Linked DNA regions of Mus musculus. The protein of the gene in region 1 binds, or shares a complex with, the protein of each later gene. Links are inferred from orthologs where the notes say so. Each region holds a gene or a part of one and is shown in the gene's direction. Other genes may lie near its edges. The genes, in order: Chchd3, Micos13 and Apoo.

Region 1 (3,648 bases):
CATCAAGGGAAAAAGCATAATTCTGGAATATATATTATAAGATAATTTTGTCAGTTATAACTTATTTCTAAGAATGCCAGGGTATCAGGATGGTGTGATGCTTTAAAATAGCATCACAAATTTTATGTTCTACTTCTTTTCAAGGGTCCCCTTGATAGGCCAGCACCAAGTAAAATTTAGCACTCATCATTCACACTCAGAACATTTTACTCAGAATGACACCAGCATAACAATTTTACCTCCTTTTAAAGCAGAGCTACATCTTTGGGGGTATAGAAGTGTTATTCTTTCAAAAGAGAAAAGGCAATCAGAAAATCTTTGTCCACGAGATTAGACTGAAATGATCTTTCATTCAGTGCTTCTGAGTGCCGTTCTGTGCAAGGCATTATGGCACAATCCAGTGCCAGAGTCATTTATCATTATCATATACAATGAGGTGTTTTAGTAGATTGTAACTTAATATGGAGCTAATTGTGTGACGAGGCAATGGATCACCTTAATGCAATTGTAGGCTTCACTAATAGAATTAGTAGTGTGCAGATCCTGGCACTGCCACTGTTGTCTTCTTGTTTCTCTAGAACACGTCTGGTATGTAAGGCATCCATCAGAGCTAAGGTAGGTGGGAGCAGTCATTCAGCAGCCTGGAGCCTGCTATAACAGGCTGATTTTGCATATGTTGGAGGATGGAACAATACACTGGGTGGAGAGACTTCTTTGTGTTTCTGGCTAGCTTCTGCTTTCATATAGGATTAAGGAACCTGGATCCCGACACCTTGTCCTCTACTGTGTCCTCTATGTCTGACTCATGTCAGTGAATAAATGACTCACTTTTGGAGGAAGATGATGCCTTCATATGTTCCTCACAAAGGTGGCTTGATGAACTTTGTGCATGTGTGTGTGTGTGTATGTGTGTGTGTGTGTGTGTGTTTGGAGAGGCCAGTGATCTAGCTTAGCAGTAGCTTTCAGGAGGGCTTTCTACCTTGGTTTTTGAGACTGTGCCTGGAACCTAGGACTTGCTAGTGGGTTTGGCCAACCAGCCAGCTAGCAGGCCAGGGATCATCCTGTCTTGTTTGTGAAGTACAGTGTTACAAATACTACACTATGTTTTTTTGTGTGGGTACTGGACACAGACTCAGGGCCTCATGCTTGTGAGGAAAGCTCTTTACTTACTGAGATGCCCTAGCGATGGGATTTTTTTAGGTGAGAAGTTTTCAGTTTTACCTGAGAACTTTGTTAAATTTGGACACTTTGTCAGCTGGATCAATACCTTCTTCTCTTAGAATTCCAACGTTTTAAATGTGTGGATGGAGGCTGCAGGGGATTACTATAGTATAAAGTTTTGATAGATTATAAGCCAATATGATTTCAGATTTTGAATTTATCGTTTCTGCTTTTTTATTCAGGTTTTTCTATTTAACATAAAGTGATACCAACCAGCAAAGTATTTTTTTTTTCTATCCAGGTTATTAAATAACCTAAAAATAATTTGTTGTTAAAGTAATTTAAAAGAAAGTATTGTTACCTTTTTTGTCTTTTCAGCCTTAAGCAAGCAAGGGACCTAGAAAGAGAAAGGGCTGCAGCCAATGAGCAGCTGACCAGAGCTGTCCTTCGGGAAAGAATATCCAGTGAAGAGGAGCGCATGAAGGCGAAGCATCTGGTGAGGCTGGTTCTGGTTACTAAAGACCCCTCGTCATCCTGGGCGTCCCTGAGGCTGGGAAGCTGCTGTCTGTTCCAGCTTTTCGTGTTGAGAACAGTGATGGTCCCTTGGCCAGGTTTTCTTGAGTTTTATCTAAGTAGCTGATGAAGGTTGGCCATCCAGGATGTTTAAGGTCGGTTACTTTACAAGTGTTGAAGTGCTGGAGGCACATGTGGCACCTGGGAGCTGCTGCTTGTTTGTTGTGTTGTCTCTGCTACCCTGGGCACAGGCCTGGCCCTCTTTCTCTTCCTGCTGGCCCCTTCCAGATGCTTTCCTGGGAAAGCCGCAGAGAGGTGAGCTAAGCTTTCATCAGCTGCTCTCCAGACCTGACAAAGAAGGAACAAGGCTTGGAGAAGCCTTGTAAAGGACAACAATAAGTTTTCTCAGTAAAAATATTTTTTTTAATTTTAAAGATTACATAAACACTTTAAAAGATAATTAACAAAAATTTAAAACTCACCCACCCATACATTTTTTTCTTGACATGATCATGGTTTACACTGGAGTGTGTTAGAGTTTCTTATATGTAACTTTGAATTTGAATAAATGATGTATGTATGCAAATATATTGGTAGATTACAGAACACTTTTTCTGAAATGTAGTTTCTCATGATGATTAGTATCCTCTGTATCCTTACCATTTATTAAGCAGTTTCCATTGGCAGCTAAAACGGCATCTCTTGTGGTTCAAGACTCTAGCGGACTGCTCAGTCTCTAATTTTCTTCCTAGAAATGCAGGTGAAACTGTTCAGGGCCTTTAGTCCTTGCTAGAACACACTAGGACACCAGTAAGATGGAACACAAGGCCTTAAATGGAGGGTTTTGAATTTCAAAACTTCCTACCCAGTAAGTAACCGAGAACTGCTAAGCCTAGATGGGGAAAAGCTCCACTTCTCTTCTCTACTCTAGTGGCTCTCTGTCTGTCTGTCTCTGTCTGTCTCAGCTTCAGTTTCCACACACATTAATATTAGGACGATTGAAAGTTTGTTCTTTTAATACTTACCCATGCTGATGGGTGCAGTGTGATAGGTTAGCCCATGTATGCAGTGGGTCTGATGGAATTAGCAGAGTGTGTGCTGAGAGGCTTAGAATCCTCTCCTAGTTCTTTGGGAACTAGATAATAAATTGCTAACAGCTTTTTCCTTTCTTCCTTTTCTTTTTTCTCTTTTCTTCTTGTTCCCTTTTAAACCTTTTATTCCCTTATTTGAAAAGGGAACCTATGACCAGGTGACAAAAAGGAATGAAAGGTGAAGTCAGTTTATAAAGCTTTTTCTTAGTGACCAGTCTGAGGTCCCAGGCTACATGGGGAGGAAGGTGTTGCTAGAGTGGACGTGATAGACCAGGAGGGAAATGCCAGTGGGCGGACTGTGGTCAGCACATTGAGCATTCTATTGAGTGGCGCTCAGGGAAGGAGGGTCAGAAGGGAAGCCAGTTAGTTTAAAGGAGAAACAAAGGAATGGGCAGCTCACTTTTGATTCTGCCTGCCGTCTGACCTGCAGCATGTCTTGAAGTAAAGTGTCAGGCCAGTTGTCTGAGTGGTCGTTGCAATCACAGTAAAGTCTCACAACCTGGAGGCTAAAGACAGGAGAGGACAGGGTTAAAGGTGCTCATGTTTTAGGAAGGCACTGGGGGCATTTCTGGTGAGCATTTTTTCTGTCCCCTCTCTTGATCCTTTGCACCTGATACCTGGAACACTCTTCTCTCAATGACTAAAGCCTTTACCCGAATGTGGGAGTACTGCCTTGTTTACTTAGTTTAAGAATTAATGATTCCTTACATACACATGATGAGGCATGAGCGGTTTCACAGAAACTGTGAAACCTTGATCCTGTAAGCCAGTGGCAGCTCACACGTGCGACATGGTTGGCATGGGATAGTATGTTCAGCCTTTGATTTGTCTTAACCACCTGCATATTGCCTGTCTTCACGTTTACTTAACTGCTCGAGTGTAA
Region 2 (4,265 bases), on another chromosome or scaffold:
ACATGTCTGTAAAAGCAGGAATGAGGAGGCCCAGGCAGGAGAATTCAGCTTTGGTCCATATGAGTTCCAGACCAATCACGTACAAAGAATAAGACCCCGTCTAAAAAAGAAAAAAACCCACAAAGCTGGGTGATGGTGGAACACACTTTAATACCAACACTTAAGAGGCAGATGCAGGCAGAGCTGTGAGTTCGAGGCCAGCCTGGGCCACAAAGTGAGTTCCAGGACAGCCAGGACTGTTAGACAAACCTTGCCTCAAAACAAGCAAGCAAACAATAACCAACCAAAGGCAAACCAAACCAAACCCAACACAAAAATAAGTAATAAAGAAATAAAGTTGTGTGTGGGGGGGGTCTTGTGTATGGTTGAATCGGAATGACCCCTACAGTTTCATGTATTTGAATGCTTGGTCCCCATTTGGTAGAACTGTTTGGCAAGGATTAGGAGATAAGTTTTCTTGGGGCAGGGGTGACAGTGGTGTGGACTTTAAGGTTTCAAAAGCCCACACAATACCCTGTAGTCTCTTTCAGCTTATGAGCCACAATGTAAGCTCTCAGCTGCTGCTCCAGCGCCATCCCGGTTTGCCTGCTGTCATGCTCCGCGTTACGATGGTCATGGTCCTCTGAAACTGGAAGCAGAAAACTTTTCCTTCTATTGAGTTGCCTTGGCCATGGTGCTTTGTCAGGACAACTGAGAAGTAATTAGGACAATAGGTCTCCATAGACAATTACAAGGCATCCATGCATCCATGGTGCACATCTGCTCAAGCTCACCTTGCAACCGAACAGGGATCTACATGATGTCCACTTGGCCGCTAACCCCTCCTGCGGCACTTCGCACCCCAGTGTGGCTCCTTGTACTCCGGACCACCCACCGCCAACCCGTTCTCACATGACCCCAAGACTTCTACCCGGCAGGGATCCTCCAGCGCCTTGGCCTTGGCAAGTCAACAACCTTGGCAAGCGTCCATCTCACAGGCCATCTGTAGCCTCTCCAAGCTTCCTAGGTTAGAGCCACACCCCTAACCGCTCACGTGAACCAAAGGCCTGCTTCTCTGGAACAATCCAGCCCTCGCGTTGCCGTGGTAACCATCACTTAGGCTTGCTTCACCTGGGGGACACTCAATTCTCCGCGCGGGCGCGGGGAATCCGACCAGTGTCTTCCGAGGGCTCGTCTCTGTCGTGCCTCCAGACTACATTTCCCAGGAGCCTTCGCGGCCTAGCCCTTCTTTGGTCTTCCGCCTAACTAATACATTTCCCAGAAAGAATTGCGGCAGCCACGGACCTCGACCTACAAGAGTCTAACTCCATTGCGGCTGACAGCGACCACTACATTTCCCAGGAGTCTCAGCAGCGACACCAACCGGAAGCGGCGGGCGAATTACTTGTCCTTGCGCGGCGAGTGAAGCGAGAGACTAACCATGGTGGCTCGAGTGTGGTCGCTAATGAGGTGCGTGGACAATCGTGGAGGCCCTGAGAAAGTTCGGGGCTGTAGGCATCTCTGCCTCGTGGCTTAGGGTCCTGCGACGGCTCACTTCCGGTTGTTACGGACCTTTCTCACGGTCTGTGTAGGGAAACTGGCTTCAGCCAGCCCTTATCACCCTACTGCTTCAATTTACTCTTAGGTGCAATTCAGATGCGTAGGCAATCCTGCCCATCTCCCTCCGTAGCTGACTTGAGTAACTTGCGGGGAAGCTCCGCCAGACACCCTGGAAGGTTTTGTACCAGGGATCTTGAGTGTCCATTATCCTTTGCAGGGTTTCGAATGACCCACCCTGTCTCTCTTTAAGACTCCGTTTACTGCTAAAAGTCGTGTCACAAAGGCAAATGAAATGATCAACTGGCCGGGAGTGGTGGCACACGCCTTTAATCCCAGCACTTAGGAGGCAGAGGCAGTCGGATTTCTGAGTTCGAGGCCAGCCAGGTCTACAGAGTGAGTTCCAGGACAGCCAGGGCTACACAGAAACCCTGTCTCGAAAAACAAAACAACAACAACAAAAAATGATCAACTGTCTGATCTCTGAGATCCTGCCCCCCACAGCGTCTCCCTTCATGTATTCCTGAAGGTTCCTCATTAAGGGAAGTGTGGCTGGAGGAGCAGTCTACCTTGTTTATGACCAGGAGCTGCTGGGGCCTAGTGACAAGAGTGAGGCTGCCCTGCGGAAGGCCGAGGAGGTTGTGCCACCAGCAATGTACCAGTTCAGCCAATATGTGTGCCAGCAGACAGGTCTGGAGATGCCACAGGTACCTTGGCTGGGAGTGGGTGGCCTACAGGTTGCTTCTGGGTGTCCTTGGGGCCTCCTCCACCCCTGCTTGGTGGAGTTTTGTGTTTCTGGGTTTGGGAGACAAGGCTGTGACCTGTTTCCCGTGTCAGCCCGTGTTCCTCTTTCTTCCCAGCTCCCAACCCCTCCAAAGATTAAATTTCCAAACTTCCGTGATTCCTGGAACTCAGGTAGGCCCCTATGCCCCTGCTTGGGGGGATGCCTGGGCACCCCAGCCTCTCTCCCAGCCCTGTTTACCTCATTGACCCTTTCTACTCCTCCATGTTTTCCTGTTTGTGTGCCTGTATATCACCTATGGAACTAAGTAGAAAGGACTGGGTATGGTGGCCCATGATTGTGACTTTAGTATTTGGGAGGCCGAGGCAGGAAAATTGTAGTTTCAAGGCCAGCTTGATCTATAGCCAGGACTACACAGGGACATCCTTTCTCAAAAATAGGAAAAACAAAATACTTAAAAAAACCCTAAGGGGTTGGGGTTGTAGATCAGTGGTAAAGATCTTTCCTAGCATGCATAAAGCTCTGGGTCCTGTCGTCAGCACCCCATAAATCAGGCATGGTGTTTGTAGGTCTGTCATCTCAGCACTCAGTGCAGGCAAGAGAATGAAGGATTTCAGGGTCATCTTTGACTACATAGGGAATTCCAGGCCATATGGGATATATGAGACCTTGTCTCCACAAAGAAAAGCTGGATATTGTTATACACACCTATAATCTCAGCACTGGGAAGAGCTGAGGCAGAAGGACTGAGAGTTTGAGGATAACCTTGGAATATATTAGTGAGATGAAACCTTTTAAAACAGAGCATAGGGAAGGGGTTGTGGTTTAGATCCACACTGGAACTTGTCCATCAGGAAAGGCTAGTCCCATTCCTCCTCCATGTACTGCTCTTGCACTCCCCAGGGGTTGGCTGGCTGAGTGGCTCTGGCAAGGTGGGGACCTTATGGCACCTGTGTGCTGTCTCTGCAGGCATCATCTCAGTCATGTCAGCCTTGTCGGTGGCCCCCTCCAAGGCCCGAGAATACTCCAAGGAGGGCTGGGAGTACCTCAAGGAACACAGCAAGTAATGGATGCCACCTGCCCCAGCATTATGGGGGTCAAGACCAGGATGGCAGAGACATCCCAGTGGGGACCTCACTCTGAGGGCAGCTTCCAGCATTGCTGGCCCAATAAAGGACTTGGGAATGGTCCCCAGCCGGTTTTCTGGTGGGGGGGGGATGTAGAGCCTTTGCTTTATGGGCAGAGTCCTGGCTAACAGGGATCTCTATGTTCCAGATGTAATGTTTGGAGCCCAGAAAGATTTTAGTTTTAGTTTTTTGTTTTAACTTTTAAAAATTTTGTGTGATAAAAACCATGACCAGAAGTAGCTTGGATAGGAAAGGGTTTATTTCAGCTTGTTACTCTCAGGTCATTCTCCATCACTAAGGGAAGTTAGGGCAGGAATCTGGAGGCAGGACTGAAGTAGAGGCCATGGAAAATTAGTTTATAGGCTTGTTCTCCATGGTTTGCTCAGCCTGCTTTCTAATAACACCCAGGACCACCTACCCATAGTCATCAATCAAGAAAGTGTCCCACAGTCCAATCTGACGGAGGCATTTTCTTAACTTAGTGCTTGTGTGGGTGTGCTTGTATATACACACTGGCACTGTCTGTTGTGAGCTCTCCATCATGGGTGCTAGGATCTGAACTAGCCATGGAACCATTCTTCCAGCCTGTACAATGGAGTAGGTACTGTGGTGCGGGGAGCCTGGACTTGGGGCCCTTAATAGGGGCTTCACTTGCAGTGGACCAGTTCTTTTTGACAGCCCCATTGCCCAAACTAGTCACAGCCACTCAGGACTCCCAGCCTTGCCCCCTGAAGGTCCCTTTTCCTAGGGACCCTGCCCCAGCATTCCTGTCCCATGCTGCACCAGCTGTCTGAGTCCTGAAAGTCTCTATTAGTATATCAGAAGTCTGTGACTGGCAGCCATGCCCAGAAGGGGCTGGA
Region 3 (3,648 bases), on another chromosome or scaffold:
GATCCCTTTGTTTAAAAACTTTAATAGCTAGAGGTATAGCTTAATGGTAGTGTTTGTTGCTCTAGATCCATCCCCAGCACCAAAAGATGTTAATAATGATAATTTATTCAGTAAGCCCTACTCATTCTATTTCTTTTTATCTTTGTAGGAAATATACTCCCATACTAAACCCAAGGTGGATCACTTTGTCCAGTGGGGAGTAGGTAAGTTGAGTTTTAATTAGGCATAATCGGTTATTTCATCCTATTGAACTATTGTACTAAGTTTTTAGGAAATTGGCTCTGGAAATCAGAGTCTTTGACATCATATGGACAAATCTAGAGCTATCTAGATGTTTTCTGGAAGATGATCTGTGTTTGAAATAGGTTTCAGAAGAGTCTTATTTCATGAATCTCTTCAATATTATTAGCATTGTTGGGCTAACAAGTACTTGTACCTTAGAATTAAAAAAAAAACAAAACCAAAAAAAACCAACTCCAGGGCTGGGGATGTAAGTTCCCAGTAGCAGAATGGGACGCATCTTCTTAAGTCTTTGTAGTGACTCTGTGTAACTCAGGAAGAAAAAGTCAAACATGTCAAATAACTCCCAGTAGCAGACTGTTTCCTTTGCATCTGTGAGGTCCAGTGCTAAAATCCAAACAACAACAACAACAAAATTACAGTGCACTAGAGCTTGCTTACTCCTCACTGGATTTTGTGAGTCATACTAATTTGTGAGCTGGCGTTAATGGATATTGCACAGGCCAGGTATGGTGGCACATGCCTTTACTTCTATCAACGAGGAGGGAGATGACAATAATGGATCTCTGCTAGTTCAAGGGCCCATTTTCTACACAGTGAGATCCAGGGCAGCCAGAACTACATAGAGAGATCTCTGTGTAGTCTAAAACAACAACAACAACAATAACAACTTTTTAAAAAAAGTGCATAAAATCTAGATGCAGGAAGGAATTCAGCTGGTCTTCCTGGAAAAGCTGTATAACCAACACATAGCTGGCTCAATGTGATCAGTGTTTAGAGACAGGACTCAGGCTTTTCCAGGAAGCATTTTAAACATAGGGAAGGCTAAGGCTAAGTTGAGAGAGAATGAAGTCATGACCTAGCTTCAAGTCATTTATTACTTCATCTGGTATTAAACAACTCTTGGCAGTATTCTTTTTTAATTATTAATTTTTAAGGTTAGCATGCAAAGTAATGGGTTTCACCGTGACAACTTCATAGGTATGTGTCATTGTACCTGGTGGTGGTCTTAACAAAGATCTGTTGGATAAGTATCTACTGTTATCACCAAGAGAAGGTAACATATAAGTCTAAGCAATCAACCGTGAGAGAACATATATTGTGTGTGGGGGACAGAAAACACAGGCATGAAGGATCAAATGCTTAGGGTGAGATAGCAGGGGTGGTACCGAGACTGACTTCTGATGGCACCTTAGAGAAGGAGGCAGTGTCTATGCGGATGACTTAGGATGAGCGTTCCTGAGGAGGCACTCAGTGCCTGAGGAGGCTCCAGTCTGCTGTGAGACTGCTTCCATAGACAGGAGAGGAAAGGAGAGAGCATGCAAATCCAAGTCTTAAGACATGCGTAGGCATGGCAAATAAGGTCATGTGTTGTATTATTTACTTCCTGAGTAGGCTCACTGTTGTATTTATTTTTAAATTATTAAATTCTATGACCAGCAAGAGTGGCTATTTACTTCTAGCATCAATCTTGTTCTACTTTGCTTTTTATAGTTGTGATAAAACGCCATGACCAAAGCAACTTGGGGAGGAAAGGGTTCATCCCAGCTTAACAGTTTACAAGCTACCCTGGAGGGAAGTTAGGGTAGCAACTGAAGCAGAGGCCATGGAGGAGTGCTCCTTTCTCACTTGCTCCCCGTAGCTTGCTCAGCCTGAGTTCCTTTCTTTTTCTTTTTCTAACACTAATGCAATTTTATTTTATTTTTTTCCTTTGTTGAAGATAGATTTTTTTTCACATAATATACCCTGATTACAGTTTTCCCTCCCTCTATTTCTCCCAGTTCCTCCCCACCTCCCTTCTCATCCAGATCCCTTCTCATCCCTTTATGCTTGTCATTAGAAAACAAACAGGATAATATTAAATAATTAATATTAAATAATTAATATTAAGATAAAACAAAAACTAACACATTGGAAATTGACAAGAGAAGCCAACAGAAGGAAAAGCCCAAGTGAAGGCACAAGAATCAGAGACCTACTTGTTTTTGCCCTCAGAAATATCTTTAAAACCACGAATTGGAAGCCATAATATCTATGCAGAGGACCTGGTGCAGCCCCTTGTAGGCCCTGTGCTTGCTGCCTCAGTCTCTGAGAGTTCATATGAACTTAGTTGATGTTGATTTAGAGGGTCTTGCTTTCTTGGAGTTCTCTGTCTCCTCTGGCTCTTATGTTCTTTCTGCCTCCCTTTGATGGGGTTCCCTGAGCCCTGAGATGGGGGATTTGATATGGGCATCCCAGTTAGGACTGAGTGTTCCTAGGTCTCTCATTCTAGGTCTAGCACTCAGGACCACACTCCCACAGGTGGCTCTACCCCCAAATGGCATGAGCCCTCCCACATAATCAGCATTAATCAAGAAAATGCTCTCAAGACCTGCCTACAAGCAAGTCTGATGGAGGCAATTACTCAGTTGATGTTCCTCTTCCCAGACGACCCTGCTTGTGTCAAGTTGACAAAACCCTAGCCAGCACAAATTTATGCTGCAGTTTTCCTTCATTATCCAAACATATTGTTCTTTAGTTCAAATAATGAGTTCAGATGGCAAAGACACTTGGTTTTCTGATTTGAATGTGTTTGGTTCCTGAAAGAATGTATTGCAAAGAATCATACTGTCACAGTTGATGGTGGTGTGTATCTCATCACTCACGGTAAAGCAGGATTGTGAGTTCCAGGTCTGTCTGGGATACAAAGAAAGTTTAAATTCAGCCTGGGCCACACAGCAAGGTTGTCTTTAAAAAGTGTGAGCTAGGTTTGGTGATGCACACCCGTAATCCCAGCACATGGGAAGTGAGGCAGGATGATCATGGGTTTGCTTTATACTAAATGAAAGTAGACTTAAAACAAAACAAAACAAATACGTACTAACAGGAAGCAAAGGATGCATGGTCGGGGAACATTTGGTAGTGCATGTTCTAGTTATGTATGAGACTTTTGCTTTTGGTTTTAATGAACAGTTTATGGAGTTATTTCCCAATCTTATTCCATCGTAGACAACTATAACTATCTTCAAAATGCGCCTCCTGGATTTTTCCCAAGACTCGGTGTTATTGGTTTTGCTGGTTTTGTTGGACTCCTTTTTGCTAGAGGTAGGTGCAATTTTTTAGGGTTCCCCCCAGAGTCAGTTTATATGGGAGAGATGGGATATATGTGTGGCTCTTTATCCATATTTAATAGCTTTTTAATAAGTTGGTTCCTGAATGTGGACTTCTTAACATAATGATTCATGTGTGTCTTTATCCAGTTACATTTGACTTTAAACATACATAGAAATTTATATTCTTGGTAAGAAAAAGAAATTAGTTCTACTTAATAAGCACATTTACTTGTTCAAATATTGCTCTATGGTACAGAAAGAGTAAAGTTCTGTTCAAAGTCTTTCACACCTGACAAACTGTAAATGTTCCACTGTT

What was found.
Region 2: Chchd3 (region 1) and Micos13 share a complex: the UniProt entries of both Homo sapiens proteins name them as parts of the mitochondrial contact site and cristae organizing system (MICOS) complex. The link is inferred for Mus musculus from reciprocal best matches to the Homo sapiens genes CHCHD3 and MICOS13.
Region 3: Chchd3 (region 1) and Apoo share a complex: the UniProt entries of both Homo sapiens proteins name them as parts of the mitochondrial contact site and cristae organizing system (MICOS) complex. The link is inferred for Mus musculus from reciprocal best matches to the Homo sapiens genes CHCHD3 and APOO.

Annotation. Positions count from the first base shown.
Region 1 is NC_000072.6:32,966,210-32,969,857, reverse strand, and holds part of Chchd3 (MICOS complex subunit Mic19), read left to right. Parts: intron 1-1,539; coding exon 1,540-1,657; intron 1,658-3,648. UniProt on the Homo sapiens protein: Component of the MICOS complex, a large protein complex of the mitochondrial inner membrane that plays crucial roles in the maintenance of crista junctions, inner membrane architecture, and formation of contact sites to the outer membrane.
Region 2 is NC_000083.6:56,606,824-56,611,088, reverse strand, and holds Micos13 (MICOS complex subunit MIC13 precursor), read left to right. Parts: upstream 1-1,317; 5' UTR 1,318-1,420; coding exon 1,421-1,449; intron 1,450-2,065; coding exon 2,066-2,243; intron 2,244-2,396; coding exon 2,397-2,451; intron 2,452-3,247; coding exon 3,248-3,345; 3' UTR 3,346-3,637; downstream 3,638-4,265. UniProt on the Homo sapiens protein: Component of the MICOS complex, a large protein complex of the mitochondrial inner membrane that plays crucial roles in the maintenance of crista junctions, inner membrane architecture, and formation of contact sites to the outer membrane.
Region 3 is NC_000086.7:94,387,517-94,391,164, forward strand, and holds part of Apoo (MICOS complex subunit Mic26 isoform 1 precursor), read left to right. Parts: intron 1-148; coding exon 149-203; intron 204-3,228; coding exon 3,229-3,324; intron 3,325-3,648. UniProt on the Homo sapiens protein: Component of the MICOS complex, a large protein complex of the mitochondrial inner membrane that plays crucial roles in the maintenance of crista junctions, inner membrane architecture, and formation of contact sites to the outer membrane.